Linked DNA regions of Arabidopsis thaliana. The protein of the gene in region 2 interacts with the protein of the main gene of each other region in a pairwise test. Each region holds a gene or a part of one and is shown on either strand. Other genes may lie near its edges.

Region 1 (8,698 bases), on a different chromosome or scaffold from region 2:
TGCTAAATATGTTAATATCATTAATAATGAAGTTGTGGCGTTACAAAGAAAACCAGTACAAAAGCAACTTTGGCAAAAAAAGTAAAAACAAAGCTACAATAGATTTAGGAAATTTTTGAAGACATTAACGGATCCAGAGAAGCATTAGCTTACGCCAACGCTTCCTAAGCAATTTTACAGTTACTAGTTATTTTTTTAATTTTTAACTGGGTGATGGTTTTCTCTTTTCTGAATAGTCTCTAATAGTTTTAGATGTAATAATGAATGATTAAGCAAAGTCATATTATTTCTCCTCCACTTATATGATATGATGTAATTAACATAACAACCCACTGAAATTGATTTAAACAACGTGACAAGACAAGAAAGTTGTGTTGTTTCAACTGAACATCACTAACAACCAGATCTAACCACTAATTGTACTATATTACATTTTTCTCACTATTGTAACTACGAGTTGTTTATGTTAACACAATAGCCTTTAGAATTGATTTGGATAAGAGGGCTTCACTTTTAAGAGATCCATCCGTTAAGCCTGTTAAAGGCCCAAAAGTTGCATAATAGAAAAGCCTATATATTGGCAAAGACGGGCAACTGTTTAGGCAAATAGGTATTTCTTATGTTATCGCCGCCGTTGAGCCTTTTCTTGTTTTTATTCCCTATTTTGAGTTTTTCAAGACCTTGATTTTCATTTATTGTTAGTTATTTCTCGTTTGGCTGATGATAAGTCCAGCCCGAAATTCCGTTGTTATAGCTTTTTTTTGGTGAAGTTTGCATGGCCATGGAGAACACTAACTTTTTTTTTCATGTAAGTAGACAATTTCAGAGATACTAATCCAAGAGATGGCGGATACGTTTTACAATCACGAATCTTGTATGATCACTAACCATTGGAACAATAAGAGTATATAATGAGTATATCACCATTTAGTTCTAGTGGGTGGTGATCATATAAGATTGGTAATGGTAACAGTGAAACATATCCCCCATCTATTGGGATTAATTAGTCTCCCTGAACAGTCGTGAGAGAACCTTTGTTTGCTGCGGCAGACACTAGAGACTGTTGGAAGACCTTGAGATATACAAAAATGTAGAATTATTTTGAAAATAGGTGATGTGGATCTGGTACTACTTGATTTACATATATGTATTTGCTTCTCTGCTTACTTGTAACGAAAGCTACATTATATAATATACCTTTGATTTAAGCAATCTTGTTGAATAGGTTTCTCTGGTTCTTATGGAGAAAAACTTAAGATTTTTGTAATCCATCATACATTTTGGTATAGTTTTGATCTTATATGTATTGTGCTTTGACACAAGCTAACTATTTTCTTGTTTCACAGAGCGGGATCAATTCTAAAGCAGCCATGAGTCTGGCTCGCTAAAGAAGCCTATCGATGTGGATCGTCCAATGGAGAGAGAGCATGTGACATGAAACCTTCGTTGTATTGGGCCAATATCTTTTGTAATTGGGCTGACTAAAAATCATGATAAAGTCCGAGGGAGACTATAAATAATTTACTCATTGTTCCTGCCGACATTACACGTGGCGAAAGAGTAGTTATATGCCAGAGAGACTCCTCTAAAATGGGGTCACGTGTAGCCTGTATCGACTATTCAATAATGCCACTCTCGCTCGGTGACACCGTGTCTCTTACTTTATCATTAGTCTTTCAAATTAACTATATAGTCCTTCAACATGTAGTAATTCATCTACTTATAAATTGCTGTTACCCAAATCTCGAGTATCTAAAACTTATACTTTTCAGACATTGACCAAGTAGTGAATCAAATCCTCACGTTACACTATATTGTAATCTTTTTAAAACACGATCTAATTAAATTTTGTTTTATTTCATAAACATAGATTAGTTTAGAAAACGCCATATGCAAATGTGTATCACCTAATTCTTGGGACCTTTCAGAATTCATATATACACATAACAAACAGTCTTTTCATTTACTTTCTCTATTCAATCTCACACGCGCTAAACCATAACCCGATATTACTAATGACGAACTACGGTGCGATTCCGACGTCGTCTCATGCATCTCCGTTGGTGGATGTCGAGTCTCTCTCACGCGCTAAACACCGTATCAAAGCCGGGCTAGCCACGCGCCGTGCTTGGAGAGTGATGTTCGATTTCCACTCCATGGGACTGCCTCACGGTGTCTCCGATGCGTTCACAAGAATCAAGACCAATCTTGCTTACTTCCGTATGAACTACGCAATCGTTGTCTTGATCGTTATCTTCTTCAGCTTGATCTGGCATCCGACATCGCTCATCGTCTTCACCGTCTTGGTCGTTGTTTGGATCTTTCTGTATTTTCTCCGTGATGAGCCTATCAAGCTGTTCCGGTTTCAGATCGATGATCGGACGGTCTTGATTGTTTTATCGGTGTTAACCGTCGTTTTACTCCTGTTGACCAACGCGACGTTTAATATTGTTGGAGCGCTTGTGACCGGAGCTGTGTTGGTTTTGATCCATTCGGTGGTTAGGAAGACGGAGGATCTTTTCTTGGATGAAGAAGCGGCGACGACTGAGACTTCTGGGCTGACGTCATACCCGTCGACTTAAATCGTTTCATCTCGAAATTTGTGTATCTTTTCTATTTTTGTATATTATCTTGTTTTTTTAATTATGCGTAATCAATTTTTATTGGTGTGAGTTTGGTTTGAGACTTTCTCTCTCTCTTTTGTTTTCTGAGTTTTGAGCTCTGTCTGAAGTTTGAACAATTCTAATTTGTTATAATTTTTATTACTCCCTCTGTCCATAAAAGATAAATTTTTTAGGAAAAATATTTGTCTTACAAAGATAGAAATTTTATATTTGCAATGCAAATTTTAAAATTGTTTTCCCGTTTTACCCTTACTAAATAATTAGATAAATATTTATTATTATTTTTAAAATATATTAAGAGGTTAAAATTATGTTTATACAATATTTCTTAAAAAATGTGCAATTTCTAAAAAATTCATCTTAGTGGGACGGAGGGAGTATTTTATATTCGCAAAACTCAGGAATAATTTCTTGGAATGATTTATTAATCTGAAATATTTAAAATGATTTAATCTGAAATACATAATAAATAATCAAATTAATAAGTCAAACATTATAAATTCAAAATGGGTTGTAATGAATATTCCCTTTTTGCATTCCGTAACAAAAAAATAATCAATTTTTGTTGTAAAGTTTATTCAGGTTGGTTCACCTTCAAAGTAGGAAAAAAAGTTTGGTCTTGATTTAAGTTCTTTTTTCATTTGGGTCACACAAATGAGCAATTTGAAGCAAAAATCCTTGATATATATGCAGGCCTTATTCAAATTTCCAATGTAAAGATTTGAAGCAAAAATCCTTATATATAATTAGGTCTTTCAAAAGGCACAAATATTCTAGCCCATGTAATTCTAAACGGACGCCATTAGATATGTAAGAGCATCTTCATCAGTAGTCTTTCAATGAGATACCCAATAAAAAAAATATAATAAAAAAGGAAAAAGTAAGAGAGAAGGAAGAAAAAGTAGGAGAGAAGGAGAATTAAGTTTCTTGGAGGAGAAACTTTGAGAAACTATTCTCATTCAATTTGGACAGCTGTTATCCTATTATTAGTTTAACTATTAAATAACAATTAATATATCTGTCTTAATTAAAATATTAATATTTTAATTTTTTGAAAAACTTTCCTTACTGATGGAGATGGTCTAACAGTATTGAGCATACACATCTTTGTACGCGTCAGCTCCCTTCGCCGGCGCTTAATACCACCGCCACACTTGCCGCCAATTAGAAGCAAACCGGTTTAAAGTGGCGTATCACCAACATTACGATCTTAACTACGTCTATCGACATCATCCTCATCCCCATAATCTTATCCACTCAAGACTCAAGTACACTGGACGTGGCAGACCAAGTTTTTCTATTTAATTCTTCCAACTTCATATTCCAGGAACTCGATCGACTTTCAGACATTGACCAAATTGAATCAGATCATAACGCTACATCCTTTTATATATATATAACATCACGCTACATTATTGTAATAATATCACAAAATTTCTACGGAAAAAAACTCGGTCTAATGTTTTAACACACCATCTAATTTATTTGGTTTTATTCCATATGCAAATTCAAGAGACCTTCTTCATATATTATACACAGAGAGATAAAACAATAAATCAGAACAGTTTTACATTATTTCAATCAAGTCATCTTATTCACTAATGGCGAACAACGACGAGATTACCACGTCGTCTCATGCATCTCCGGCAGTGAATCACGAGTCTATCTCACGCGCTAAGCAACGTATCAAAGACGGACTAGCCACGCGCCGCTCCTGGAGGGTGATGTTCGATTTACACTCCACGGGACTACCTCACGGCGTCTCCGATGTTTTCTCAAGAATCAAGACAAATCTTGCTTACTTCCGTAGTAATTACGCAATCGTAATCTTGAACGTCATATTCTTCAGCTTGATTTGGCATCCGACCTCGCTCATCGTCTTTACCGGTTTGGTTTTCCTATGGATCTTCCTTTATTTTCTCCGTGATGTGCCTCTCAAGGTGTTCAGGTTTCAAATCGACGATCGTGCGGTCTTGATTGGTCTATCGGTGATTACCATCGTTCTACTTCTATTGACCAACGCGACGTTTAATATTGTTGCGGCGTTGATGGCCGGAGCTGTGTTGGTTCTGATCCATGCGGTGATTAGGAAGACGGATGATCTTTTTTTGGATGAAGAAGCGGCGACGACTGAGACTTCAGGACTGACGTCACACCCTTCGTCTTAAAACGATTGATCTCCATTTTTATGTATATTCTATTGTTTTTGATCATCTTATGTGTAATTATAGTTTATGGTGTAACCGTGTAAGTTTGGTTTGATTCTCTCTCTGTTTTTAAGTTTTGAAGTATGAACAAACTTAATAATGTCAAAGTCTTCGCTTCTTGTTTTTGGCGGGCTGCTTACTTTTATCACTTTTTGGCGCCTTATTGGGCCATTCATTAAGGCCCAATAGTATCAGCCCATAAAATTCAAAAAGGAACATATTTTTACATTTAAACAGTGTGTCTCACACTTCCATTTACACGTCAGCTCTCTTCGCCGGCGCTTAATACAACCGTCAACCTCGCCGCCGGCTAGAGGAAAATGGCGTATCACCAACCGTACGATCCTTTCTACGTCTATCAACTTCATTCTCATCCTCATCATCTTCCGCCGCAGCTGCCACTGCTCGCCGACGAACCTGGGGCGATTAACACTCTCTTTGTCTCTGGCTTGCCTAATGACGTTAAGGCTCGTGAGATCCACAATCTCTTCCGTCGTCGTCATGGATTCGAATCTTGTCAGCTCAAGTACACTGGACGCGGTGACCAGGTTTGTAAAAATCTCCAATTTCTGTTTTTTTTTATTCCCATTTTTAGAAAAGCTGTATACTTTGTGATTCTATCGATGTTTAAGCTTTCTGAAGTTACCTATCTTCAGGTTGTGGCATTTGCAACATTCACGAGTCATAGATTCGCCTTGGCTGCAATGAATGAGCTAAATGTAAGATTCACTTTGATCGAATTGTGTGACTCTATTGTTACATTGTGTTATTTGATTGTGGTGAAGCATTTCTTTTAGGGTGTGAAATTTGATCCTCAAACAGGATCAAATCTACATATAGAACTAGCTAGATCAAACTCTAGAAGAAAAGAAAGGCCAGGTATTTTCTAGACTTTACTCTCTTCTTACTATTGAGTTAGTGTGGTTGGTAAATCGATCAATGAGTAATGAACAGTCTATGTGGATAGGAAGTGGACCTTATGTTGTGATTGATAACAGAAACAAGGAAATTTCTAAGTCTCAGGATGACCAGAGTGATGAAGGTAATGTTCTGGTTACCTTGTGGACTCCTAATTATTTAAATGTATGAATGCTTTATGTTTCTGCTTGATCATTGTTGATGCATCTAGGGGATAGCGATCCAGATGAGGTGCAGGAACCTGGAAATAGCGATTCTCCAAAGGAAAACGATACTACCAAAAGGTTGAAAATGACAATTAGAAGCTTGGTTTTGTAGTTTTTTAGGTCAAAAGAAGAAGACTAATGTATTCTGATTTCTTTGCAAATTTACAGCGAAGCGGATTCTGAGCCAGATAGTAAAGCACCATCTGCTAATGTAAGTCCAAGCCAAAAATCTAATCTTTTTAACCAGTTGAGATATCTCTATTTCTCAAGTTCGTTGAAGATTAATAAAATCTTATTTGTTACTTACTGTAAGATACTTCCATATAGACTTCCTTATGGTTCAGTAGCTTACTGATAGATTTCTACAGGGGCACTTAGAGAAAGCATCTGAAGGAGGTTCTGGTGCTCGAGCTTGTTCGACCTTGTTTATAGCTAATCTAGGGCCTAATTGTACAGAAGATGAACTCAAACAACTCCTATCTAGGTAACCTTGTACAATGACTGAAACCTACAGCATTAGGGTTTGAATGTTTCTTCAAACAATCATTGGTTTTTGCCTTTCCGAAAGTCGATTGATCTGATCCATTTGCTTACAGATATCCTGGTTTCCACATTTTAAAAATCCGAGCTAGAGGCGGAATGCCGGTTGCATTTGCTGATTTTGAGGTATAAGTTGTTATACATGCTTTTGATTTTGTCTTTGTAGTCTATATACCCACTCTCACCAATTGCAGGAAATCGAGCAAGCTACTGATGCCATGAATCATCTTCAAGGGAACCTCTTATCCTCTTCAGACCGAGGCGGCATGCATATAGAGTAAGAGTAGTTTTTCTTACACTTGTTCAACAATTAGTTTAAAATTCAAATTTTGCCAGATTATTACTCTCATAGTCATTACAGCTACCCCAATGTCACACCCTGGTTTTTGGTTCTTCCAGATATGCAAGATCAAAGATGAGGAAACAGTAAAAGATTATCATAACCACAAAGCCTCACTTCTCAAATGAAGAATGTGGTGGATAATGTACCATATGCCAATGGTAGTCTCTTATGAAAACAAGATATATAGAGATCATAAGCAAATGAAAGCTGTATTTCTTATTTTAAATCTTCACTTACTATTTGTTGTCATGAAGATGAATCCTTCTATGCTGACACTGACTTAAGAGATACATATGAATATATTTATTCAAGATTTACTAATAAGATCTCCAAAATCTTATGTTGTTATGAGCACGTTGATAGAAAGAGACAATCAGATATTTGTCATGATCCAGTGAGTAAAATCCATGGAACCTCTGAACGTACTGCCCCACCAAAGTCCTCGCCATCTTTGGGCTTTTCTTGTGTGTTCAATTTTGAAATTTTTTGATAATTGGTGATGCGGATAAGTAGAAAAGATACTGAGGACCAACGCATCACTGTATTGACAGGCAAAGTCAGATTCAAACATGACTTCTCTCTCATGCACCATTATTACAATTTTGAAGACTTCCAATGTCGATGTCGTAAGGAGAAGGAAGCCCTCTCATTGTTTTGTTTTCTTCTGCAGAACAATTCTATTGACTCTCCTAAACCAATAATTCAAATTCGAAAAAAGGAGAAAAAGCCTCTCTTGTTGTTTTGTTCTTTTAATACTCCTTTACCAAAAACAATTTTAAATTCCTTGATAACATATTTAGCAACTGTTTTTGCATCTTACCCCACTATACAAACAAAAAAAGCTGTGTTGCCAGCTTTGGACCACATCACTTAAAACAGAGGACTTTACTAAATACCCTATCAACTAAACTTATCATAAAGCAAAGTAGTGTGATTAGTATTGCTTGTTATGGTTTAGTTCAAACCTCTGGCTTCTTTCCCTCTCCCTCAAAGCTAGTCTTGGCGTTTCAACAGACAGCCTTTCACTGAACCTATCCGAGCCATCATTCGTTAGCTGACCGCTGTAATGATCCGCCCAGAACCTCCCGCTTCGGTTGCCTGCCTCTGAACCTGGAGTTGATGCGTAGTTTCCATCCATTATCATATCTCCTTCCAGTATACGCAACACCTTCATTATTTACCAGAAGTTTTAGTATCATCAGAAACTTAAACTGAATGATCCTGAGACTGAGACTGAAGAGTGATTTCAAGAAGAGCTTTTGGTTACCTGAGACATGCGTGGCCTCAAATGTGGATCTCTACGTATGCACAACGAAGCTGCATGAAGCATACAAATGACCTCACTTTCTACAAAACGGTTCCCAAGCCTCGGATCGATAAGTTCATCTATCGCATATTCTTCCAGTAGAGGACGTGCCTGAGATCACAAGCCACAAAAGGAGAGTCAGTTCTGTTACTTTGCTGAAAACTAAAGATATGAAATCATTACCCATTCAGTCAGGCATTGCTGGCCTTTCGGCCTGGTGATATCAATGGCTTTGCGGCCAGTGACTAGCTCAACTAGAACAACCCCGAACGAGTAGACATCAGCTTTTTCTGTGATTTGCCCGCTTTGAGCATATTCGGGAGCTAGATAGCTGCACACCAACCAAGCAATTTCTTTTAGCAACAGACAAATTGTTAAGTTTCAGGAGCAAAATGATAGCTTTAGTAGGTGTCTCACCCGAAGGTTCCTATCACTCGTGTATCTACACCCATTTCCCCATCAGGCTGCCATCTTGCTAGACCAAAATCTCCAACCTGATGATATTATCAAAGTTGACTCAGGACGAAAAAGCATATGAAACAGTGGATATCTGC
Region 2 (8,544 bases):
ATGGTGGTGGTGGTGAAGGAGGAGGAGGAGAAGGAGGTGGTGGAGAAGGCGGTGGCGGACAGAAAATCTCTAAGGGGGGTGGAGGCGGTGGTAGCGGTGGAGGACAAAGGAGTTCTAGTGGTGGCGGAGGAGGCGGAGGGGAAGGCGACGGAGGAGGTGGCTGATCACATGGATTCTCACACTCTAAACACATTGCACATTCAATCTCTTGTTTCTCTGTTATACTCAATGCAACAACAGATTGTGATAGTAAAAACAGAGTGACGAAACAGAGAAACAACTCCATTTTTAAGAGGAAGAGAGAAAAATTTGCCATCTATCAAATGGTTCAAGAATGAAGAAGAAAGTCTATGGTTTTTAAAGAACTTGACTTTTTTAAGAACCTTCAAAAGCAATAACTTTGGAATCTGATACCATTTAAATTTTACAGCTTTGATTCAAGAACAAAACCCTTTTTTGGACCATACCATAACTGTAATCCATAATGTACGAACAAATTCTTTTGATTTTAGGGTTTCTAGAGATTTGGGACATAAAGAGGCTTTGTTCACTTTCGTAAGGAACCAAAATGTCTCAATGAAGCTAATTGACAAAAGTTTATTCAGACACTTCTTAACATTTTATTGTGGTCTTTAGTTTAAAACCACTCGCCTCTCATTTCTCTTAAGATTCTAGAATGAGGAAACGTTTCAGGATCGCCACGTTCTGCGTTGCGTTTGAATATCATTGTTGCTTTCATCAAAGATTCTTCCGCCGTGTCTAGCTGCTCCGGTAACCATCCGATCACATCTTTCCCGGCTGGGTAGGCAGTTCCATCGGTAGCTTGCGTAATAGGTTTCCGAGTATCGGCGAATTCAATCTCCGATAACGGAGAAGCTTTGTGGTGTTTGTAAAACTCTTGGTCACTCTCTGTTTCATCTTCTCTTCGCCTTTGCTCTTCCACTTCTCCTTCGTCTCTCGGCCATGGTGAACCGTCTAAACCAGCACAGCTCACGGAATCAAGCGACGGCGGAGAAGCGGTGGAGTTTTTTCGTTTCTGTTGGAAATGAGGTTCTGACGGGTGACCAACGGGAGTACTCTCTAGCTTGTGCGCAGTGGCGCGTGGAGATTTCGGCGGTACAAGCGGTTGCTCTTCTAAACTCGGTCGGGGAGTATCGTCTACGATTTCTTCCGCCGCCGTTTTAGGGTTTGCAACATCATCCATACCCTGAAACACAAGCAATCACCAAAAACTTAAACAAAGTTGATTTCTTTGTGTATTTTAGAACATTTTTCTTTATTTTCAACATGGTCTAAAATTGAAAACAAGAGAAAAGAAACAATTATTACTTCAGGGTCTCTCGGATAGATAGCTGGATCGGCTCCATCGTTACCGGCATGGATCTCTGGATCAGCTGTGCGACCAGACGTGGATGATCCAAACGCTAAACGCCTTTGAGCGATTGGTCGAACACGTGAACGCGCCGCTGAAGCAAACGCTAATAATCGGGATTGCATCATCATCTAGCTTTCTACACAATTTTTGTTTTCTGCGTTTCCTCGCTGATTAAAGAAAGTTTGTACTTTGTAGTAGCCATTTTTAGAGAGACTCGTGTCGACACGTGTTGATGGCATGCCTCGTTGTTAATGACGTGGCGGATTTAGAATGACTAGAAAAAGTTAGAAGCTGCTCGATCGGTGTCTCCAGATTTGTCTGTCTTAATTTTTATTATTTTCTTTTCTTTAGAAAGAAAAATATGCTAATTGCATTACCTTCTTGGTAAATAAAATTCAACAGAGCCTCAAATAAGATTTTGCTGTCAAAAACATAAAAACAGACTATTTATTATTTGTCACGGATTAATCTATATATACATTTTTACGATTATTTTGCAAAATAAATTAATAGAATTGAGATTTATTTACAATGGCTGCCATTAAATTTTATTGTTTGTTTTTGATCATTAAAAAAAAATCTTTAAATTAAATATTTAATATTTAACAATCTTCTCTAAATCTCTCCACATTAACTACACGATTAGTTACTAAAATAAACCTTCCAAAATATTAATATCATTTAATTACTACAAAATTATCATTTTTGATATTGCTTTTCTCCATGACTATAACAATTCAGTTATAATCATCAAACTGCAGAGATATTTGATAGCATATAATTACTACAAAATTACAAAATAATTAGACAATAATTCATAAACATATCAGAAATAAGATTAACATTAATAAAATAAATGTTTTTTTTATGGGACGAGTTGGCGGGACGAGTTTGGCAGGACGTTACTTAATAACAATTATAAACTATAAAATAAAAATATTTTATAGATAAATACAATTTGCAAACTTTTATGTATACTAACTTTAAAAAATAAATTGATCATTAAAAAATAAATAGTATATAGTTATTGTGATCGTATTAAAATTGCATTATAACGCATTACCTAACTAAATATTTGCAATTTAATTCGCGACTTTGATTGTCTATTTTCCTTCTTATTTTGTCACGCATTAACATTAAACTGATTTTTGCGTAAATAAGACATGTAGATGTTGATTCTGCATAAATTTTGAAGCTTTAAGAAGTCATTTTTATCGCATTTATTTCATAATTGTTTTTAGCAGGAGAGCTTAAAAAGCACATAGCAGAGCAGATAGTGAAACACTTTAATTTCCGCCTTAAACGCGAGAGAACAAAATATCCAAACTTCTAAAAATACAAAATTCACTCAAAACATGACCCAAAAAAGAGAAAAAAAAACCTAAACTGTTTTTAGAAAAGACAACGAGCGACCTTTGTTCTTAAGTTCAAGCAACTGAGAGAATACTACAGAAACCTTCAACCAAAGTTGAATCCACCCGTAGGAGCATTACCACTTTGGTTTCCGAATTGGAAACCGGAAGACTGAACATTCTCAGGAGCATCCACACCGCCAATATCTTCCTCCTCGTCATCTGCAGCCCAATACGACTCCAGGATTTTGACTGCTTTCTCATAAATCTCATTATTATCGTGACTCTGAAGATTCTCAATCTTGTCCAAACCATCTGCGTCTTCAATCATCTGCGCGTACAGATTATCGTTTCCTGTGTTGCCTAGATTCTTCTCGGCTTCACCTACTTTGAGAATGTTTTCTAGACCTTCCAAAGTCACTGTGACAACCCTTGGATCGGGACACGGTAGGAGATCACACAGGGGTCTGATGCAGCCTTGGCTCACGAGAAACCTGCAAGGATATAAGAGGTTCTATAACAAGAATCACTGAAAAAAAAACTAAAAAGAGACAGAAACAATGAGATTTGTTGTACTTGATTTGGTCATGATTGCCACCAGAAGTTGCATTAGAGATTGCCCAAACAGCTTCTTTCTTAATTTCGAATTCACCGATCTCAAGCAGGTTAATCAGAGGCCGAATAATGCCTGCCTGAAACACTTCCTGCACAACAAATTTATCGATGTTAAATCCAAATGTATATACGACTTCTGGTTTTAAATTATAAGAAAAGATATTGGTTTTTGAACATTGTTATTTGTTAATAATGTATATAACTCACTTGAATTTGACTTGTGTTCCCAGCTGTAATGTTAGAGATAGTCCAGCAAGCTTCCTTCTTGATACTCTTCTTGTATGTGTTCTTCAAAAGGTTTAACAGACCAGGAAGCGCTTGACTGCTAATAACCGCCTGTTATGGAGAAAACAGAGATGATTTACTTAAGTAAACATCAAAACTATAGGAGATATAAAAGGCAGACAGTTACGGATAATAGACTACCTGAGTCTGAATATCATCTCCGGTTACAATGTTACCAATTGTACGGAGAGCTGGAATCAGAACTGAGGGCGATGGATGACTAAGAAGACACAGATAACGAGATCAGGTCAAGATATATGTGAATGATATAGAATTGGTAGCTAAAAGAAAATTACTTACGCCAAGAGCTGAACAAGGCGAGGGATGACACCAGCGTCGATAACAGTTTGTATTTTCTCGTTTGTACCATCAGAGAGATATGAGAGAGCCCAGGATGCATCTGTGAGAACTTCTTCGTCGGTTGAATGCAGAAGGCGCTCAAGAGCTGGTAAAGCTGCTTTTGTCTGCTCAACAAATGCAATGACACATTCTCATATTAATAAACAGTTGAGAAAAAACACTTCAAATTGGTTTATATATCTTATATGCAAGGAAACCTGTTCAAATGCAGGCTGCGGCTTCCCTCTGCAGAAATTTGATAATGTCCATGTAGCATTCCTCAGCATGGAGAGCTTTGAATGCTCATGGAATTGAGCCAGAAGAGACATCATAGCCTCACAACTTAGGACATGATCACGACATTTTGGCGAGTCACCAGCAACGTTTCCCAATGCCCATACAGCCTATAATCAGGGGAAAAAAACATAGAAATCAGGATGTTAAAACAGTCGGAATCGAGTCATCAGCAATTTGATCTAAGAGTTTCTTTGCCAGAACAATAGAAAGAAAATTGATATTGAATCTAAATTGATACCTGTTCTCGAACTTCCTCACTTGCAGAACTAAGAAGTTTGACGAATAAAGGGACAGCACCACTATCAATAATGACCCTAGTGTTCTCAGATGTCCCTGAAGCGATATTGGTAAGCGCCCAAGCTGCCTCAAACTATAGTTATACAAGCAAAGCAAACAGCAAAAGCCATCAGCATATGAATCAAAGCACCAAGCTACACTTAGATATAAGAAAGGCAAGCTCACCTGAAGTTGAGTGAAGTCATCCCTGGAAAGAAATTGCACAATGTGAGGAACAACACCAGATTGAACAACTTCATTGATTGGAGGATTTCGCTCTACAAAAAATTCAACCAACCACAATAAGCAAAAACTAAAACCCACAAAACAATCAAACCCTAAACGCCATGTTAAGAGATTTATAAATCACGTACCAATTGAAAGCAATCTCCTGAAGCTAGCCGTCGCCTCCAATTGTAAGTCTCTATCCTCTGACATTACTCCAGCAATCATCTGTTGTATATTCTCCAACTGCAATTGAATCAGGGCAACTTATTATCTAACCTCAAGCAATGCAGATTCTGAAATTAGGGTTCAGTAAACCCCAAAATTCAGTACTCCTGATCCAATTATTTATCTAGGTAACTAGATCAGAAGCTTTCAATTTCATTCTAATTCACCGAGATACCCTAACTAGTTCTCAATCTAAATTCGGTACCAAACATAAACGAGAGAAACACAATCAATTAGATATAGAACACGAAGAACGTACTCTCGTTTCCGTAGGGAGAGACGAGGAGAAATCCTGCCCTGGCTGTGACGCCATGGAAGGATTAAAACCTTCACGCCGCTTCTTCTGCAAGTTCTCCTCTCTCTTGTTCTTCCGGATCTCCACCATGTTATCCTCCCGTCTCCGGCGACCTTCATCGGCGTCCACAGATACTTTATACCTGTTCCGGCGAACCTCAGTCTTCGCGCTTGGTTTGTAAGACATGGTTAGCTTAATCGAATCAACCAAAACAGAGGATCACTAGGTTCTGAAGGAATCGATGTAGACGAACAACGAATTGATCGATCGAGTTTTTGATTTCTCAGAGGAAGATGAAGAAGACGAAGGAGCAGGAGAATCAGGGTTTTGGAGTGATGCGATATAATTTATACAACGTGACGTCGGGATTCGAGGAGGCTACGGGTAAAAGACGATATTGGGCTTAGGCTTTAGTATTAATCACGATATTGCCACAACTTTTGAATTTGAAATCGCAACGTCTACAAAAGGTATAGCGCGATTTTAGTAATATAGTGATTACTAATGCTGACCTGTCTTTTGACTTTAATAAAGAGGCTTTATTATATAAATTAGCCCAATATCGGCCCAACGTTTGCTCAGTAAAGTAATGTTTTATGAATCTGATTACAATAAATTGGGCCTGGTATTTAAGCATCTTAAACGCTATTTCATGACAAACATAAGCATCAACGGACAAGAACTTAACCACCTCTACATCAAGAACTTCATTAGCCAAGTCTCTCGGACAAATCTCCCTCTTCGGTTTCCACGAACCAAATCCCAACAACTCACAAGCCATACCCTTCAAGCTAACCCTTGACCTCTCACCATAACTAAATGGAAAATTTACCTTTACCAGATCACGAACGTCAACTTTCTTAACCACTACTCTAACTAGCCCACCGAGCTTAGCGACAGTTTTAGCAATACCTATTCCTACAAAAACAAACCTCTCATCACGAAATAGATCACTAAGGCATTCGCCGAGATTGGTATTTTGTTTCATATGAAGTAGTTGGAGTATGAGGCATTTGGTTTTGATGCATAGTTGAAGAGTCGAGATTTTTGCATCATCTTGAGGATTGGTCTTGGAGTTTAGAGAGATGATCACCGTTGGTTCATCTCGGTAGGTTAATCGTATGGCGAGGATCCAATTCTTGGCTATGGAAACTTCATTTGTCACCGTTGTTTCTATGAGTTTTTCACGAAATGGAATCAACTGTGTAATTGTTACCATCGCTCAGTATGATTTTTCACTTACGCATATGTCCATGCATAATATAAACGGTTGGTATTATCAAAGTCTTCAATTTTCGAAAAGAACTCGATTCAATGAATTGGTCAAATGTGCTATTAATATGACCAATTTCCGATTGAAAACATTGAACATAAAATATTTAACGAGATCTTTAATCTGCAAACCAAATTTAACATTCCCCACAAACACAAATAGAATTTAGTAGATATACTTCATTCTCCTATTTTCTCATTAATGAATTCAAATACACTCACTAATTACAGAAACAAAAATGAAGAAAAAGTTAAAAGGAATTAAATTAAATTATAATACAAAAACCAAAAATGACCAAGAAATTAAAACCTGAATGATGATGACGTAAACTTGATAGATGATACGAACCATAATTAATAAGATCATTAATGCATCACTATATATCCCTTTGGCTTTGCAACGATCAGTGTAAACCTGATTTTGCATCTTCATTATTGCATAGAACCTCAGCTTTCTCATCAATCATATCGTCTCCTCCTTCCACATCACTATAACATTCATCTTCTTCCTCATCAATATCATCATCATATAAGGACATGGCTGATCCATATCCCGAGATTCCTGATGATGATGAAGATGAAGCCGCCGTGAAAACCTCCATAGTCTCTGATAAACGACCCTCGGAATCATCATCATCTTCATTATCATTATCACCATCGTCTCCTCCCATTTCTGTCGCTGGCAGAGGAGGAGGAGCCGGAGGGAGAACAATTGTGTTAGTAAAAGTTGACGATGGCATTATCGTAATTTCGAAACGGAGTTTACGTACGGACTTAACGACTCGCCGCCAGAACCTGGTGTTGAAGGGTTTTCTCCCCGGCGGCGACGAAGCATGAACATGACGACGGAGAACATGTGCATCCCACGTGATGACTTTTTCTTCTTCATGCTCGTGTTGTTTATTTGCTCTATCTCTAATTGATCACAATGATTTTCTTTAGTTGGTAATTGATCACCATTCTTATTTATTGTTTCCATGGTAAAATAATGAATCAAAATATCAGAAAGATGACGAAAAATTTAGAGAAAAACAAAAGTCTTATAATGATGACTAATTTTATAATTATTGCGGTAATTAATTTAATGAAAGAAACAAAAATCGGGTGGTTATTCTAAATTTTTAGGGTTTCGAAATTCCTGACTCAAGAAAAATTAAAGGTCGTCCGTAGATATATACGGGATGCTAGATAATGGGCTTTCTTCTAATGGGCCTACATTTAATATGAGTCGGCCTTGTGCAAGATTTTTTTTCACCTTTTTTAAGTCAACACACTTTTTTTTTGCTACTGTGCTTCGAATTCTGATTACAACCTAAAACGCTGTCCCTAGTCCGGCATCCATGAGGTTCCTCTTACCTAGCATTTGTTCCTCCCGTTGAGGAAAAGCAAGATCAATCAACGAGTTCCTTTTCGTCGACATCAAAAGCTTTGCGTGCTTGTTTCAGCTCTTCCTGCATCGCCAACAGTTCTCTACAGCGGTTCAGTTTTGGCAAATCCTGCATAAATCAAAGACGCCAAAGTTTCGGATATAGAATACAAAACCATAAACCATCTCAATCATCGATTGTGTACTTTTTAAAAAGAATTTTTACCTTGCGGATAAGATACAAGAAATCATCAACTAGAAGTCTTCCTCGCTTTGAACCAATTTCTTGAGCTTTATGTGTCTGCCATTGAAACATCACTTGTTAGCTAATATCTCTCCGCTTGTAATGTAAAACATGAATCATTCACAAAAAGAAAAAGCTCACTACCAAATCTGTGACGTATTCCACAACAATGTCTTCTACAAGCGCCACAGACTCTGGAAGAGGCTAAATACAGAGGAGTTTTGGATCAGTTTCAGGTGGTAAAACACTAAAAGATGTTACACGACCAAGAACCCTTTAAAGCAAAGATTCTCTACCTAATTCGTTACTTGTATTGGAATGAAACTATATCTACAAATACGGTTCATATGGCAACAAAATAGTAATGAAGAGGAT
Region 3 (7,150 bases), on a different chromosome or scaffold from region 2:
TTGAAAGATTGTGCCATGCTTGTAATGGATGAGGTGAGTTCCTAATTCTATTACCCCTGAGCTAGATTTTTCTTATTAACAAACATTGTTGGATTTTTGCCCAAAAGGACATTTCTAGTTTTTCCCTGAACATAACTTTCTCTAAAGTTAAAACAAAATCGATTCCTCTTATGCTTCATATTTGCAGATTTTGATTGAATAATTTTCTTTTCCTCATGAGCTCATGGTCTTAACTCGCAAACATCTTTTTTCAGGCCGACAAGCTTTTGTCTGTAGAATTTCAACCTTCTATAGAGGAGTTGATACAGTTCTTGCCAGAGAGCCGGCAGATTTTGATGTTTTCAGCTACATTTCCTGTCACTGTGAAGTCTTTCAAGGATCGGTATCTCAAGAAGCCTTACATTATCAATCTCATGGATCAGCTCACACTTATGGGTGTTACCCAATATTATGCTTTTGTTGAAGAGAGACAGAAGGTGCACTGCCTTAACACGCTATTCTCTAAGGTCAGAGTTTTGTTACAGTCTTAAAACCCCAATGTTTTATTTTCTGGCTACTTGATGTATCTTTTAAAGGAAATATTGTTTTATCTATTGCAGCTCCAAATAAACCAATCCATTATCTTTTGCAACTCTGTTAATCGTGTTGAGCTGTTGGCCAAGAAAATTACAGAACTTGGTTACTCATGCTTCTATATCCATGCAAAGATGGTTCAAGACCATCGGAACAGGGTTTTCCATGATTTCCGCAATGGTGCATGCAGAAATCTTGTTTGCACTGGTACGTTTTGTGTATTTCATGTGCTTGAACATTGACAAATGTGTTTATGTTTCACGGGGAATGTCTGTCTGTTGCAGATTTGTTTACACGTGGGATTGACATTCAAGCTGTGAATGTGGTGATAAATTTCGATTTTCCTAGGACTTCTGAGTCGTATCTACATAGGGTATGTTAAGGGAAGCCGATTTTGGTTTATCTTCTTGAGAACCTGCTCTGTTTTATTTGTTCAAATTGTGAATGGGTTTTTGCTTCATTATATTACCAGGTAGGCAGATCAGGACGATTTGGACACCTTGGGTTGGCTGTGAATTTGGTAACTTATGAGGACCGCTTCAAAATGTTCGTGTTTCTTTTTCTCAACTGGTGTGGCCTCTCTTTTCATAGATGCTATAGCTTTCTTACTCAATTATTTGGTTTCCAACAGGTATCAGACAGAGCAAGAACTTGGAACTGAAATCAAGCCCATACCTTCACTTATCGACAAGGCAATCTACTGTCAGTAACTTCTACCTGGTGTACATTCTCTACCCGGCAAGGCATTGATGGACTAACCGGTGAGACAAATCCCTCTCTAGGCATCTTGACATTAGAACTAACCTGCATTGCTCATAGACCAAATTTCCATTGATTTTGGTTTGCGGTTATTTAGGTGTAGTGAGGAGGCAAATCATTCAGCTTTGGCAGCCACTAGCTCGTTCTAGAGATGAAGGCAACACATAGAGTACTGTACTGAGGCAAGAAGAGACAGTATAGGTGGTTGATGGCGATGGAAGCGGTTGATTGTGTCTAAACCTTTAAAGCAGTACCGGCTTGATTTGGTTTGAATTGAAGACTTCTTCTGCTGCATGATATGAACCTTAAAGTTGTCTTCTCTCATCTCTAATTTTCATGTTCTTAGAAACCTTTTCACCTTTTCATTTTGATGTTCTCTCATCTTGAAGACTTGAGAGGAATTTCCGAGTAGTGAGATCAAACCGAAGAAGACATTTTAACTTCATTCGCTTGTTTATTGCTTTTAGATCTCCACCTGTGCCTGAACTGTTTAAGGATTATAGTTGGTGTGTGTCAAGTCAAGTGTCTTAGCATTTTAAGAGTTACAGATCAGATGTGAAGTCGTACAACTGAAACAAAAGGCAAAACAAGATTTGATGCTTCATACAATTATACTCCATTAATCTTTCACTTTTACACACAATCACCCAATATGTAAACAAGACACAAACGACCAAACAAATAACAAAAACTAAAAAGAGTTGTTGAATCACACAAAAACAAAAGAAGAAGAAAGAAACAGAGATGAATTGTTACAAAGATACAAATTCAATAAAGGCTTAGAAACATCCACACGTTGCCTTTGGTACTACACCAGTGGCTCTATACTTAGCACCCATTTCTTCAGCTTTGAGAAGCTCTTCTCCTTTTTTAGCTTCAACCATTGCTCTCTTCTCTTCTGCTAACTTGTGGATTGCAGCTACTTTGTTCTTCATTTTCTCACCGTACTGCGCTTTTTTCTTCTCTAATTTTTCCTCGATCTTCCTAAGTTGAGCTTCTACGGCTGCTTTCTTGCTATTTTCCCAAGCATGCACATCAGAGATCTTCTTTTGTGCCCTGTCCATTTCAAGATCATCAGAGATCTGTAAGCAATAGTAATCTTTGGGTGAGAAGATGATGAAAGTTTACCTGTTCTCAGCCTTTGACTTCTCACTCTCTTCCCATGCTTTGATGAATGACGTTTTCTTCTCTTTTTCCAAGTCGGCAAGTATCACATCTGACCAAACACACACAACACACATTTGAAGTAAATTACTGAACTAAGTAACTAAGAAACTGGACATGAGAAACAAAGTGTTGTTATCAGCTGACCTCTATCGGCCGAACCAGATGAAGCTTTCTTAGGTGTATGCTCCTCGATGGGTTCTGCAAGAAGCACACTTATAAGTATAACACATGGATATTTGTTGCAAGAAGCTCACTTTTAACTAAGTTAAATTTTGTTGCTCTAATTGGCTAATAAGGTCATCAAAATAGTAGTTTATAAAACGAAACTCCACACAGAAGGAATTACAGATAGTAAATAAAGATGAACAAATGAATGTTCAAGGATTATAAAAACTGCTGGAAAGTTAGTACTTAATTGTTATTTTCCAAGAGTTAAGCAACTTTAAAGGAAGGAAAAAATGTAGGAATATTAAGAAAGTAACCCACTTTCCTTAATTCATAGCTGTCCACAACTAATTTGTCATGATTCCATACACTTTTTGATAACACTAATTACAGGGAACATTGCTTTACTATTAATCATATTTTAATAATATCATCCTCGAAAAACATAATTCTCTTGAAAATGCCATGATGAAGTTGTAAATTCTAACAGCGATGGATTTCACCTAAACAAATAGAGTATAGACCAAGTCATATGCAAAAGAACTCACAAAAACCTTAGGCATCTTAAGAAAATCCATTTGTTAATTGTAAATTGAAACCTTAGTTCCAAACGTAAGAATTCTGAATTACATACTATAATAATTCATCGTAAACATGAATGAATCCTCCTAAGTAGAAGATTAACATATATAAAACACACACGTATGTAAATAGAAAGCTTACTTTCTACAACGGCAAGAGCTTTGGACTCGACGGGAGGTGGATTATGAATTTTCTCATCCGCGACTTCCACCGGAGCAGGAGTCGGTTCCTTCGCCGGAGCTAAAACAGCCGGAGATTCTACGTCAACCTTACTCGTCTTTTGCTCCTCCGCCATTGTCTCTCAGCCGAAGAAGAAGAACAGATTTTATGTTTTTTCCGTGAAAATGGATAAAATTGAGATTTTAGGACAATAATGAGTTAAAGAGTTTTTATATCCTCCGTTAGCTTATACCGGTGGAGCGTACTACGCGCGTTTAATAAGTGTGAGACTCTTGTTTTGCTTCGCCGTTGATTTTTGTACCCATGTGATCGTGCGGCTGTAAAGCTCTCATACGCATTGGATGCGTTACACGTGATTAAACACACCTCACTGCCGACAAGTAAAGTGGTTCAATGATGCCACGTCACCTCTGTAGAAAATTTGTCCTCCCCTTCTTTTTTCCTGATATTCAACAAAACTTAATTCTTCCAATTATACCGAACTAAAATTTTGTTTACCATATAAATTGGTTTAAAATTGAAAATCAGATTTTAGCTGGGATTTTTTTATTATGAGAAAAACAACAATCAAACTACAATCAAGAAAATAAATGATCTATATTATTGCTAATCTTGGCTTAACTAAAAAGTTCGTATTAAAAAACTGAATCTAAATTTGGAGTGAGCTCGTATGCCTATAGAATTGACAGAGTGTCGGGTGTGTATTAAATCTATAATAAAATATCAATCACTCGAATTCATTTAAACAATTATTTTAGTTTTAAAATTTAAGTGGATCAAAGGGTGACGTGGAGCCTCACTGACTCGACACGCTGGAAGACAGATACAAAAAGGATAATGTCTGTGTCTCGCGCGTGTACAAAACTTTCCGGTTATGTGGCGCGTGGTATATGCAATTTAAACTGGTTTAAGCATGTGGTATATGGACTATGAGATGGAGACATCTCTTTTTGTAGGTGTTGGGCTTTTGTGAATCCTAATGGCCCAACGGGTTTTTAAATTTCCTGCCCAACTTGTTTTAATTTAAAGAAAGGTGTAATTTTTTTTCTAACAAAGCAATAAAGTAAATTAATTAAGGCTAATCACTAATCACAGACTCACAGTTTCGAACAGCCTGTGAAAGATGTATTAATGTATTTGTATAATAATAAAAAGTACTCTACAACATGGAATTATTTACGATTAATTATCTGTCTTGTATGATGATGAGTGGTCGAATATGGACTATGATGTCACTGACCTTTATTTAATGGGTTAAGGTTTATCTTCTTTCTTCTTTCTTCGAAGTTCGGATTCTTTTATTCAGTTTAAAGCACTTATAACAAACTTTCCCAAAGAGGACTTTAATTAATTGAACTCTTGCAGTTTTATTTTTGTAGTAAGCAGATTATTTTTCTAAGAACATCAAAGGTCTTGTATTTAGTTATTTACCAATAAATACAACGTTAATAAGAGACGATTATTTGGGAAACATTTGTGTATCACATATCAATGTCCATATGTGATTTGAGCATAGGAATACCAAATATGGATGACCAAATGTCTCCTACTAATTAATAAAATATTATCTATTTAATATTTAAAAACATTTTAACTCTTCGAAAAACTAAAAAGTAAACAAGATTCACACAAAAATATGAACGTCATTAACACAAAAGATGTGAACTCTGGTTAGTGTTGAAGATAACGTGAAACAAGATTCAAATCCTCGTGGAAGAGCACCAATCGATCACCAGAATCAAACCTTTGAGCTTCCTCCTAGCTTCGGTAACGTTTAATCTCACCTGATTCTCGTTTTTCTTCTCTTCCTGTTGAATGTTTGTGAACATAGATATATATAAAGCTGAGATAGATATAGATTCATGCTTCAACGGAAAAGCATGAAGAGGAACAACAACAATCTTCTAACGAACAAGAATAAGTATGTCTATCTTAAAACGGCGTCGCATCCAGCAAAAAGCATCGCTAAAGCTACTCTGTTCCTCGTCACCTCTCTCTTCATATCTGCTGGTCTCTTAGACTTATTGGGTTGTTTCGATTTCGTGAGTTCGAATCTGAAGTAACTTCTTTTTTAGAAACTTTTTATTCAATCAAGTGAATCTTGAACTTGAAGAGTTAATAAATTCATATCTCTCTGTACTTCAGACAACTTTTACAGGTCTGAAGCAGGTAACAACTAGTATCAGAAAATCACCAATCACAAGCCAAAGATTCCCTAACCAATGCGGCGTCGTTCAGAACCAAACTCAATTATTTCCCCAAAATGGCTCCTCGAGAAACAACGACAAACCCAGAAGCAGCCATTCAAGAATATCCACGTGTCCTTCTTACTTCCGTTGGATCCACGAAGATCTACGGCCATGGAAAGAGACAGGTGTAACGAGAGGGATGCTTGAGAAAGCCAGGAGGACGGCGCATTTCAGAGTAGTAATCCTCGACGGGAGAGTGTACGTTAAGAAATATAGAAAGTCAATCCAAACAAGAGACGTTTTTACTCTGTGGGGCATCGTACAGTTACTACGGTGGTACCCAGGTAGGTTACCGGATCTTGAGCTCATGTTTGACCCAGATGATAGACCAACCGTCCGATCTAAAGACTTTCAAGGTCAACAACACCCGGCCCCGCCTCCTTTGTTCCGTTATTGCTCTGATGACGCCAGCTTGGATATTGTCTTCCCTGATTGGTCCTTCTGGGGCTGGTAAGGGCTTAACACACATGTTAATTCTATTCTGTTCTCTATTTAATGGGCTTGTTATTGGACCTAGCTAATTATATTATTATTGGGCTAGGGCTGAGGTTAATATAAAGCCTTGGGATAAATCGCTAGTGGCGATAGAAGAAGGGAATAAGATGACTCAATGGAAAGACCGCGTGGCGTATGCTTATTGGAGAGGAAACCCTAATGTGGCTCCAACTAGAAGAGATCTTCTCAGATGTAATGTCTCAGCTCAAGAAGATTGGAACACACGTCTCTACATTCAGGTTAGGATTTCTCAAAATATGTATAATTTTTATATATTGCAATTTTTAAATAATCTAAATGATCAAAAATGTTTATTATTGTGAAGGATTGGGATAGAGAGTCAAGAGAAGGATTCAAGAACTCTAACCTAGAGAACCAATGCACCCACAGGTTTAACTTAAGCCACACTTTTTGTACTTAGGAAATATTTGCAAAGATTCGATTTTAAATGTGTGATAATGATGGAATAGGTACAAGATTTATATAGAAGGATGGGCATGGTCAGTGAGTGAGAAATATATAATGGCATGTGATTCAATGACATTGTACGTGAGACCTATGTTCTATGATTTTTACGTACGAGGAATGATGCCATTACAACATTACTGGCCAATCAGAGACACCTCTAAGTGTACTTCCCTCAAATTCGCCGTACATTGGGGGAATACTCATTTGGACCAGGTTTGTATTTTTTTTTTTACATTAAGACCCAAAAAGTTTTGTTTTGTAACAAATTAACACATTGAGTGTGGTTTTTTTTTTTTATATAGGCGAGTAAGATAGGAGAAGAAGGGAGTAGGTTTATTAGAGAGGAAGTGAAAATGGAATATGTGTATGACTACATGTTCCATTTGATGAACGAGTATGCAAAACTTTTGAAGTTTAAACCAGAGATTCCGTGGGGAGCCACGGAGATTACGCCGGATATTATGGGCTGCTCGGCGACGGGACGGTGGAGAGATTTCATGGAGGAGTCTATG
Region 4 (7,658 bases), on a different chromosome or scaffold from region 2:
TTGATGTGTAGGAGACATTGTAACGAAGAAAACTCGCTTTTTGTTTGGATCGACATTGTTAGCAACCCAATCACCCCAACTATCCATTGCCATCTCCATTCCCTCGGCGCTCTTCACCTCCTCGCATGACCCTTTTTCTTCACTGCTCCATCTTTAGTTCGAATATGCAATGAGTACCAATTGTTAATTTTTGGTTTTGAAGATGAATAAAATGATGTCTATATATAATTACCGGAGCTTGACAGAGTCTTGTCTCCACCATAAGTAGGTGTTGAAGATTAGAATATCAGCATGTTGCCACTTTGATGCATGTTTAAGAACAGAATCGGGTCGGATAATCCGCTCGCTCAATCTGTGATTAACAGGGTCATCAGAATTCGACTCCACGAGCAACGGTGCCCAGAGAAACTCCACTGTGGCATTGTAGTCCTGCGGGTACATACACACCAAAGTAACCAATTGCACCAAAACCACAACAAAGAGTCAAACTCAAGGCATAAAAGTTGTTAAACTCAGAGTGTATTTATTACCTCAGCCCTGAAAATGGTGAGGTGAGCGTTAGGAGACATAGACTGCTTGTCACGTGGAATGACAGACTGTAAGAGACAAACCATTGAAATCCATTGGCCTCTGTTTAACGAGTCTCCAACAAACATCAATCTCTTTCCTCTCAGCTTCTCCCACATTTCTATCGCATTCCATCTACCAGATAAAATGATAACCACAGTAAACACCTAAATCATCAGTTTCTACCGTTCTTTGCAAACAATAGTAGCTCCCAAAGTCATAACAAACTATTCATCCATATGTTCTCCATTTGATCAAATCAGTTATCCACAACACACATAACTCTTACAGAAAAACTTGGAAAAATGAAACAAGCAGCATAAGTTTTTTTACCTCTTCAAGTTGCAGGCATGAGGTTGCCATCTCCAATGCTGATACTCCAAATCCTTCCTACCATGCTTCTGACAAGCCAACTGGTCGGACATGTAAGGACACTGAGATTCCTTGTGTAAAGGGTATGATGATGAATTATCAAAGACCCATTTCCCAGAAAAGACATCACATTTCTGCTCCTCCTTTGTTACTTGACCCGGGTGGTCTTCAAACGGGTCAACCCATCCGATTTTCTTCCCACTGTACTCTTTCGTCGAGTTGCATTTGCTGAATCTATCCAAAACCTCTGCATTTTTTTCAAAACAGAATCCTCCAATTAGTAAGTTCGTGATGCTTTCAGCAGAGAAAGTAGCACGAATCACTTCAAAATCGGAAAAAAAAAATCAAATCAGAACAGTACCATGAGCTCCCAAGTAGTTAATCCGAGGAACATTAGGCTTGACGAAATCGAACGTGGAAGGTTCTCGGAGATTTTGAGTGTGACTCGCGGCGTGGTGATGGATCTGCTGAATGCTACGCTCGTTGAAGAGAATCATAAAGGTGACAACGAGAATAAAGAGGAGACCCGCTAATGGAAGTCTACTCTTCTTTCTACTCCATCTCTGCGACATATCGGAGACTTTCTTTTTAGAGAAAATGTCACCACCACAGTAAGAGGAAGACCTCGTCTCTTCTTCTTCACCAAAACTTGCTTTGATGCGACTGGTACAAGTTTGGAGCTATGATGATCCAGTGAGTAGAGGCAGAGAGAGATTAATAAAAGTTTAATTTGTTGTTGTTATCTGTTTTATAAAATATAAATTTGTAATTTGACTTTGACGTGTTTTGTTTACCAGATCCCATCTTTCTCCTCCTCTTGGCTCTATTGCATCCCTCGAGCTGTCTTCATCTCTTTTTTTTTTTTTTTAATAAATCCTTTTGTTTCTTTCTTTTAAAAAATTTCACACTTCTCCTTTTTTCTTCTTTTTAATTCAGTTTTTTGCAAAGAAAAATGGATGGATTCTTTTGGGCATGTGAGATCAAACACGCTTCAATTGCGAGTGTGATTTATTCTCAAATCTGACTATTATAAATGCTGTTAAGCCAAAAGTAGAGTAATAATGTTCCATATTTTAGGCTTATCATAATCAATTCTTTTAACTTATGTACAAAAACTTTTTTAAACACCTTTAGTTACCTCTTTAAATGTACATCAAAATGATTATCATCTCATGCTTCTACTTTTTTTGGTGTGAGTGTCAAATTCATTTTGAATATATGAGAGAACATAAATTAACCCAAGTAAAAAATTGTAAGACCAAATCATTGAGCACACGAATAGTAGTTCTTTACAATTGGAAAAAAAAAAGAACAAAGTAGAATTGCTCCGGCCATATTGAAGTTATGATCAGATTTATAAATAAGTTGATGTATACTCACAGTAGGAGGCTTTAAATCAAAACCAAAACGTAAATGGAAAAGCTTGAAACTTTGGAACCAGACAGAACACAGACAGGTGTTAGAATTTATCGACTCGGAGACCATTTCTTTGAACCTCATAAGCATCTCTGCTTCTGCTCTTCTTCATTCCTGCAGTGAAATAGACCTTTGATGCATCTGTAGATATGCTTGTCACTTTTACCCATATCATTACTTTTGTCTTGATTCCTTCCACATCTGTTAGCTTTCCTTTCTCAAGATGTCCTGTTACTGTTGTTGTGAACTTCAACACTGATGAATCCTTGTATCCAACTTCGCATATCGATGGGATCAAAACGGTTAGTTTCTTTGTCTCTTCATCGAACTCGTAGTTTGTAGCATCTCCCGGGAAGATTCCAATCGGCAAATCATATTCTTTTAGTAACTCAGGCAACGGCTTCTGCATTTTCCCTGTCAACATGATGACAAATGGGGAATTTCAAAAAAACAAAAAATTGAAAGATGCAGTCAGAAGAAGAATAAAAAAAAGCAAACCTTTGATTTTGTTGACCAACCATTTTGTTCCTCCTTCAATGCTCGTTGACACCGACTGGCATAAACAAAAACATTGTTTTATATGTTAGAAAAGATCACAGTTTCAAACAAAATAATCTAACCACATGAGCAAGAAGAGAAGACATTATAGGATCATATATTTGAATCATTTCTTAAGATATCATGGTTTTGGTAATTAGATGTTCTTCCTTATGTGACGTGATTTACCTAACAATGAACTCAAAACATTCGTACAACTGCATGATACCAAAATTACGATAAAGGTGGTTGATTATATCGGAACCACGTCAATAGATCAAAATCGATTAGGAAAACAGATGAATCAGATTCTATAGGATGGGTCAAAAAAAGACGTACGTTGAGATCGTTGCCGACGGAGTCAAACTGCTTGTTAGCCTTTTGGCCTAACCAGTAGGATCCAACCTTGTTGAAGATCTGATCCATATTCTCTCGAGAAAGGATAGAGAAGATTTTGAGAAAACGAAGGACGACTTTCTTTCTTTTTCTTCCGGGAAAGAATTTTGGGAACCCACCACTCTCGCACCGTTGGATTCGTTATTTGTGCACTATTCCTGCAGCCAATTAACTTATGACATGTGGCAAATACATAAACACCAATATATTTATTGAAGCAAGCAGGCAGCATTATACTGTACAAATTACAAAAAAAAGTACTTGCCTATCACTCCTCCTTGGGACTGACTATCTATCTATTGGGCCTTCAATGAAAATCAGATTAAATAGGTGCAACACAACTTGGGAACTGAAGAACCACATGGCACAAAACAGAGTAAAATTAAAGACTACAATCAATCCTTTTTTTTTGCCATTCCTCCCATGATTTTACTTGTCTATTAGACGAACCTCAGCTAAATTTGTAATTACAGTCGAAAATATTATTAAGCTCTTTAACACTTTTATAGCCTACCCTTGTCTTTGTGCATTCCAGAGTAATACGAATCGATTCAAATCAAGCCAATAAAATAAAACCAAGCCTAACTACACTTTATTTAATGCTTAATTTTTGTCCTTGCCAACATTACAACTTTTTAGAAAAACCATTTGATATGATTTTTTAACTTGGGCCGTGACATTACTAATGAGGCCCACAATGTACTTACTCCGACGTGTAATTGTCTCCGATAAAGACAAGGAACCATTTGGAACCTCTCACGCGCTTTAGCTGGAAATTACGTGGAGTTGAGCTACTCGCGACTCTATCCTATGTATAATTGTATATCAGTTTTCCGTCTCCATCAAATATCCTAGAGAGCCACGAATTTTTCCTTCTTTGTTGTAAATTATGAATATTAGGCCACATAATACGGAAAGTCTTAAAGGGTTTGGACCATTCTCAATCTTATGTTCTAGTAGCTTGATGATTTTTTATAAAAACAATATGGAAATACTTTTATCTCTATCCGATTTCCTATGTCAATATGTGTCACAGGATTTTACACGTCTAACTTATGTTGGAAACGCTATCATCTTTTCTTTTTTTTTTTTTATAGTAAACAATTGTATTTGTTATCATCTACAACTCTAAAAAATACATTTCGAAAAATAGGAGAGAGCGAGTAGGAAATAAGAAAGTGGCAACGCGAGAGTAGGAACCGGAAATGGTAAAAAGATTCTGAGGATAAAAGAGAAAGCAGAGAAACAGACAAACTTTATTTGGAGAGATGTTAACGTGGATCGAATATCCTCACGTTCACACTATCCCATTGGATGTAGCACGAGGCCGCCACACGCCCCTACATCTGGCTTTCATATCCACCCTCCACGTGGATCTCAATCCAACGGTGACCACACGCCTTTTCCCTCTTATATAAACCCTTCCTCCTTCCTCTTTCTTATCATCATCACCATCTCTTACAACAAATCTCAGGCGGCTCAACACTATCCTCTTCTACATTTTCCAACGATGGCCTCAAACGCACTCTCGTCTTTCACCGCCGCTAATCCCGCTCTGTCTCCTAAGCCACTACTCCCTCACGGCTCTGCTTCTCCGTCGGTTTCTCTCGGCTTCTCCAGGAAAGTTGGCGGCGGCAGAGCAGTGGTCGTTGCAGCGGCTACGGTGGACACAAACAACATGCCGATGACCGGAGTCGTGTTCCAGCCTTTCGAAGAGGTGAAGAAAGCCGATCTGGCCATTCCAATCACATCTCATGCCTCTCTCGCTCGCCAGAGGTTTGCCGACGCTAGCGAGGCAGTCATTAATGAGCAAATCAAGTAAGCTTCTCTTTTCTTTTCTGTCTAATTAAAGAAACGAAAATGTTTAAAGATTAGATCTAACGGAGGAGGTTGCTTTCTATTTACAGTGTGGAATACAACGTCTCCTATGTGTACCATTCAATGTACGCATACTTTGACAGAGACAACGTTGCTATGAAGGGACTAGCCAAGTAATTATTACCTTCTAACTCTAATCTTAATCTTATTTATAATAATCTTGATCGTATACTTCAAAATGAGATATATATGTCCATACTAAACATGAGTTTTTATAATCACCAGATTTTTCAAGGAATCAAGTGAGGAAGAGAGAGGGCATGCTGAGAAGTTTATGGAGTACCAGGTTTTCTATTTTTACCTTCTTTTCTGTTTTAGAAAAGTTGATAAAGACTTGTGATTCACTTAGTTAATATTCATATTGTTGGTTTGTTGTCTCTATACAGAACCAAAGAGGAGGAAGAGTGAAACTCCACCCTATCGTCTCACCTATCTCAGAATTCGAACATGCTGAAAAAGGAGATGCTTTATATGGTAAAACTTTAAGCAAATACACTATCTTAATCCTAAAATAACAACTTTTCTTTTTTTTTAAAGATACAGATATTTATTAGTTTACTAATCTTTGTTTTCAGCAATGGAGTTGGCTCTGTCTCTAGAGAAACTCACTAATGAGAAGCTTCTAAACGTTCACAAAGTAAGTTCCCTAACTTATCCATTTGATCATCAAAGATTAAACTTATAGTCATTTTCCTAATACTAACTAACACGTACTTTTGGCCAACAAAACAGGTGGCCTCAGAGAACAATGATCCCCAGTTAGCTGATTTCGTTGAGAGTGAATTTCTGGGAGAGCAGGTAAAAGTTCTTTTGCCTTTGTTCGGATTACAACTAGTGACTTGTATAATCTGTACATGTTCTGACTCAGAATATATTATGGACTATTTCTAGATTGAAGCAATCAAGAAGATCTCAGACTACATCACCCAGCTAAGGATGATCGGCAAAGGCCACGGTACGAATCAAAACCCTATATTGAGATAGTGTTCTCAGACTTGAATGGTATTTCTAAAAGCTTATTTACATTTGTTCTGTCTTTGCAGGAGTTTGGCATTTCGACCAGATGCTTCTGAACTAGACTTGGACCTCTATAAGTTCACTTTCAGATGACCAATGTTGGGGTTAAAACAGAAGAACCCGAAGATTCTGTAAAAGCTTTAGATTGAACATTATGGACTAATAAGATTGTAGTAGTAAGCTTTGTGTTCAAGATGGTTTTTGTAATAACTTCGTAAGCTTAATCAATGAAGTTTTTGTTTTAGTATATTCTAACTAGCTATAAACCTACGGCCAAACAATGCGTAACTAAGAAAATAGTGAAAACTCAGACCTATCTAATTAAACATAGAATATTTATGATCCAACTTGAAAGAGTAAGCATAACGAACCTGTTTATGAAGAACATGTAAAAGAAGCATGAAGCGTATGTCACTTTCCACCGAGAAGGACAAGCTGGTCACTGGGATATAACTGAACAGCAAACAAGAACAAGATCACTGTCACATCAAAGCAAAAGAGATGCTCTTACTTTGATTCCATGTTGAACAGTAGAAAATCATTTCTAACCAAACAAAGACCTGTCTGTTCTACAAAGAGCTGACAAATGTACGAAAATGAGTATCCATAAGAAGTTCATGACGTATGAAAACACCATTAAGCTTTTCATGTACAGATTCTCCCTTAGTGATTTATCTTTTCATCATGGTTCTTCAAACCACTAAGCATTAAGTAAAGATTGAGAATCTTATTTGTATAATGACGAAGAAGTCCCTCGCACGGGAACAATCAAGATTGGATACTTGTATGACCCTAACAAGAACACTTATCACAGTAGTAATGCTCTGATCAAAAGCAAGGAAATGTCAAATAATCCCGAATGTTATAGCACCATGCATCTAATCTAGAGAAATACGCATTCTAATAAGATAGTATCCTCTAAGATAACGCAACCAATTTGGAATCCATAAACAACAAGTTTCAAAATAGCTCAGACTCCAGCTAAAACCCTAGCAGAGAACAGATATGGAAATCGACACCACAAGTGCTTAAAATTGGACAAGGACGATGAAATTGAGAGAGACGGAGAGAAAAACTAACCACAATTTGAGGGTTATTAGTCATCGAGAAATTGAACGCCGACACTCCGACCACTGAGCTTCCGGGACTCTCAGGGAACCGAAACCGAAAATGGACAAAAACAAATCCCAATTTTGTAGCGAAGGGCACCAATCGAGTATCGCCACTTAACATTTCGGTACACTACAAACCGGGTCGGGTATGTTGTTACGCAAAAGCTATAGTTAGGCCTTACAAACTGAGGCCCATTTATAGAATATTTAATGTCTGTCGAGATAAATTCATAAGCCCATGTAAGCCCATAGAATATTTAATGAAACAGTTCCTCTTTTTCTGATAAACTCTCAATGTCGAACGTTGGTTTAAAACAGGTAGAAAACAAACAAACCATGTTACAGGAGACGCCCAAAACCATG

The links.
Region 1: the proteins of IMPA-6 (region 2) and PRA1.F4 interact in a two-hybrid assay, tested with the Arabidopsis thaliana proteins (one large-scale study listed by BioGRID).
Region 3: the proteins of IMPA-6 (region 2) and AT2G45820 interact in a two-hybrid assay, tested with the Arabidopsis thaliana proteins (2 studies listed by BioGRID, with this or other methods).
Region 4: the proteins of IMPA-6 (region 2) and FER1 interact in binary tests that used the Arabidopsis thaliana proteins (3 or more experiments, as listed by UniProt).

The regions. Positions count from the first base shown.
Region 1 is NC_003074.8:4,489,086-4,497,783, reverse strand, and holds PRA1.F4 (prenylated RAB acceptor 1.F4), read left to right. Parts: upstream 1-3,952; 5' UTR 3,953-4,225; coding exon 4,226-4,792; 3' UTR 4,793-5,151; coding exon of another isoform or gene 5,152-5,433; intron 5,434-5,487; coding exon of another isoform or gene 5,488-5,550; intron 5,551-5,628; coding exon of another isoform or gene 5,629-5,710; intron 5,711-5,798; coding exon of another isoform or gene 5,799-5,873; intron 5,874-5,960; coding exon of another isoform or gene 5,961-6,033; intron 6,034-6,123; coding exon of another isoform or gene 6,124-6,166; intron 6,167-6,323; coding exon of another isoform or gene 6,324-6,439; intron 6,440-6,551; coding exon of another isoform or gene 6,552-6,621; intron 6,622-6,689; coding exon of another isoform or gene 6,690-6,776; intron 6,777-6,894; coding exon of another isoform or gene 6,895-6,925; 3' UTR 6,926-7,156; downstream 7,157-8,698. Other genes in the region: PRA8 (PRA1 (Prenylated rab acceptor) family protein), read left to right, coding at 2,016-2,582; AT3G13700 (RNA-binding (RRM/RBD/RNP motifs) family protein), read left to right, coding at 5,152-5,433, 5,488-5,550, 5,629-5,710, 5,799-5,873, 5,961-6,033, 6,124-6,166, 6,324-6,439, 6,552-6,621 and 1 more; AT3G13690 (kinase with adenine nucleotide alpha hydrolases-like domain-containing protein), read right to left, coding at 7,773-8,006, 8,106-8,255, 8,328-8,475, 8,562-8,638.
Region 2 is NC_003070.9:581,326-589,869, reverse strand, and holds IMPA-6 (importin alpha), read right to left. Parts: upstream 5,611-8,544; 5' UTR 5,474-5,610; coding exon 5,252-5,473; intron 5,011-5,251; coding exon 4,914-5,010; intron 4,818-4,913; coding exon 4,726-4,817; intron 4,634-4,725; coding exon 4,502-4,633; intron 4,371-4,501; coding exon 4,185-4,370; intron 4,095-4,184; coding exon 3,928-4,094; intron 3,848-3,927; coding exon 3,769-3,847; intron 3,679-3,768; coding exon 3,550-3,678; intron 3,432-3,549; coding exon 3,304-3,431; intron 3,222-3,303; coding exon 2,834-3,221; 3' UTR 2,651-2,833; downstream 1-2,650. Other genes in the region: AT1G02710 (glycine-rich protein), read left to right, coding at 1-164; AT1G02705 (uncharacterized protein), read right to left, coding at 1-286; AT1G02700 (GATA transcription factor-like protein), read right to left, coding at 638-1,207, 1,330-1,503; TAF13 (TBP-associated factor 13), read right to left, coding at 7,951-8,055, 8,152-8,226, 8,314-8,373. UniProt on the Arabidopsis thaliana protein: Binds to conventional NLS motifs and mediates nuclear protein import across the nuclear envelope. Acts as a cellular receptor for the nuclear import of the virD2 protein of Agrobacterium, but is not essential for Agrobacterium-mediated root transformation.
Region 3 is NC_003071.7:18,861,036-18,868,185, forward strand, and holds AT2G45820 (Remorin family protein), read right to left. Parts: upstream 3,707-7,150; 5' UTR 3,542-3,706; coding exon 3,388-3,541; intron 2,698-3,387; coding exon 2,644-2,697; intron 2,549-2,643; coding exon 2,461-2,548; intron 2,389-2,460; coding exon 2,112-2,388; 3' UTR 1,918-2,111; downstream 1-1,917. Other genes in the region: AT2G45810 (DEA(D/H)-box RNA helicase family protein), read left to right, coding at 1-33, 255-506, 600-780, 858-946, 1,046-1,119, 1,205-1,283; DTA2 (downstream target of AGL15 2), read left to right, coding at 5,289-5,468, 5,572-6,125, 6,217-6,409, 6,496-6,560, 6,641-6,851, 6,941-7,150. UniProt on the Arabidopsis thaliana protein: Exhibits a non sequence-specific DNA-binding activity.
Region 4 is NC_003076.8:226,735-234,392, reverse strand, and holds FER1 (ferretin 1), read left to right. Parts: upstream 1-4,341; 5' UTR 4,342-4,798; coding exon 4,799-5,106; exon of another isoform or gene 5,107-5,130; intron 5,131-5,195; coding exon 5,196-5,279; intron 5,280-5,391; coding exon 5,392-5,452; intron 5,453-5,552; coding exon 5,553-5,640; intron 5,641-5,741; coding exon 5,742-5,803; intron 5,804-5,898; coding exon 5,899-5,964; intron 5,965-6,057; coding exon 6,058-6,121; intron 6,122-6,209; coding exon 6,210-6,244; 3' UTR 6,245-6,440; downstream 6,441-7,658. Other genes in the region: TBL35 (TRICHOME BIREFRINGENCE-LIKE 35), read right to left, coding at 1-151, 233-429, 531-702, 901-1,210, 1,301-1,511; AT5G01610 (hypothetical protein (Protein of unknown function, DUF538)), read right to left, coding at 2,399-2,769, 2,854-2,908, 3,232-3,318.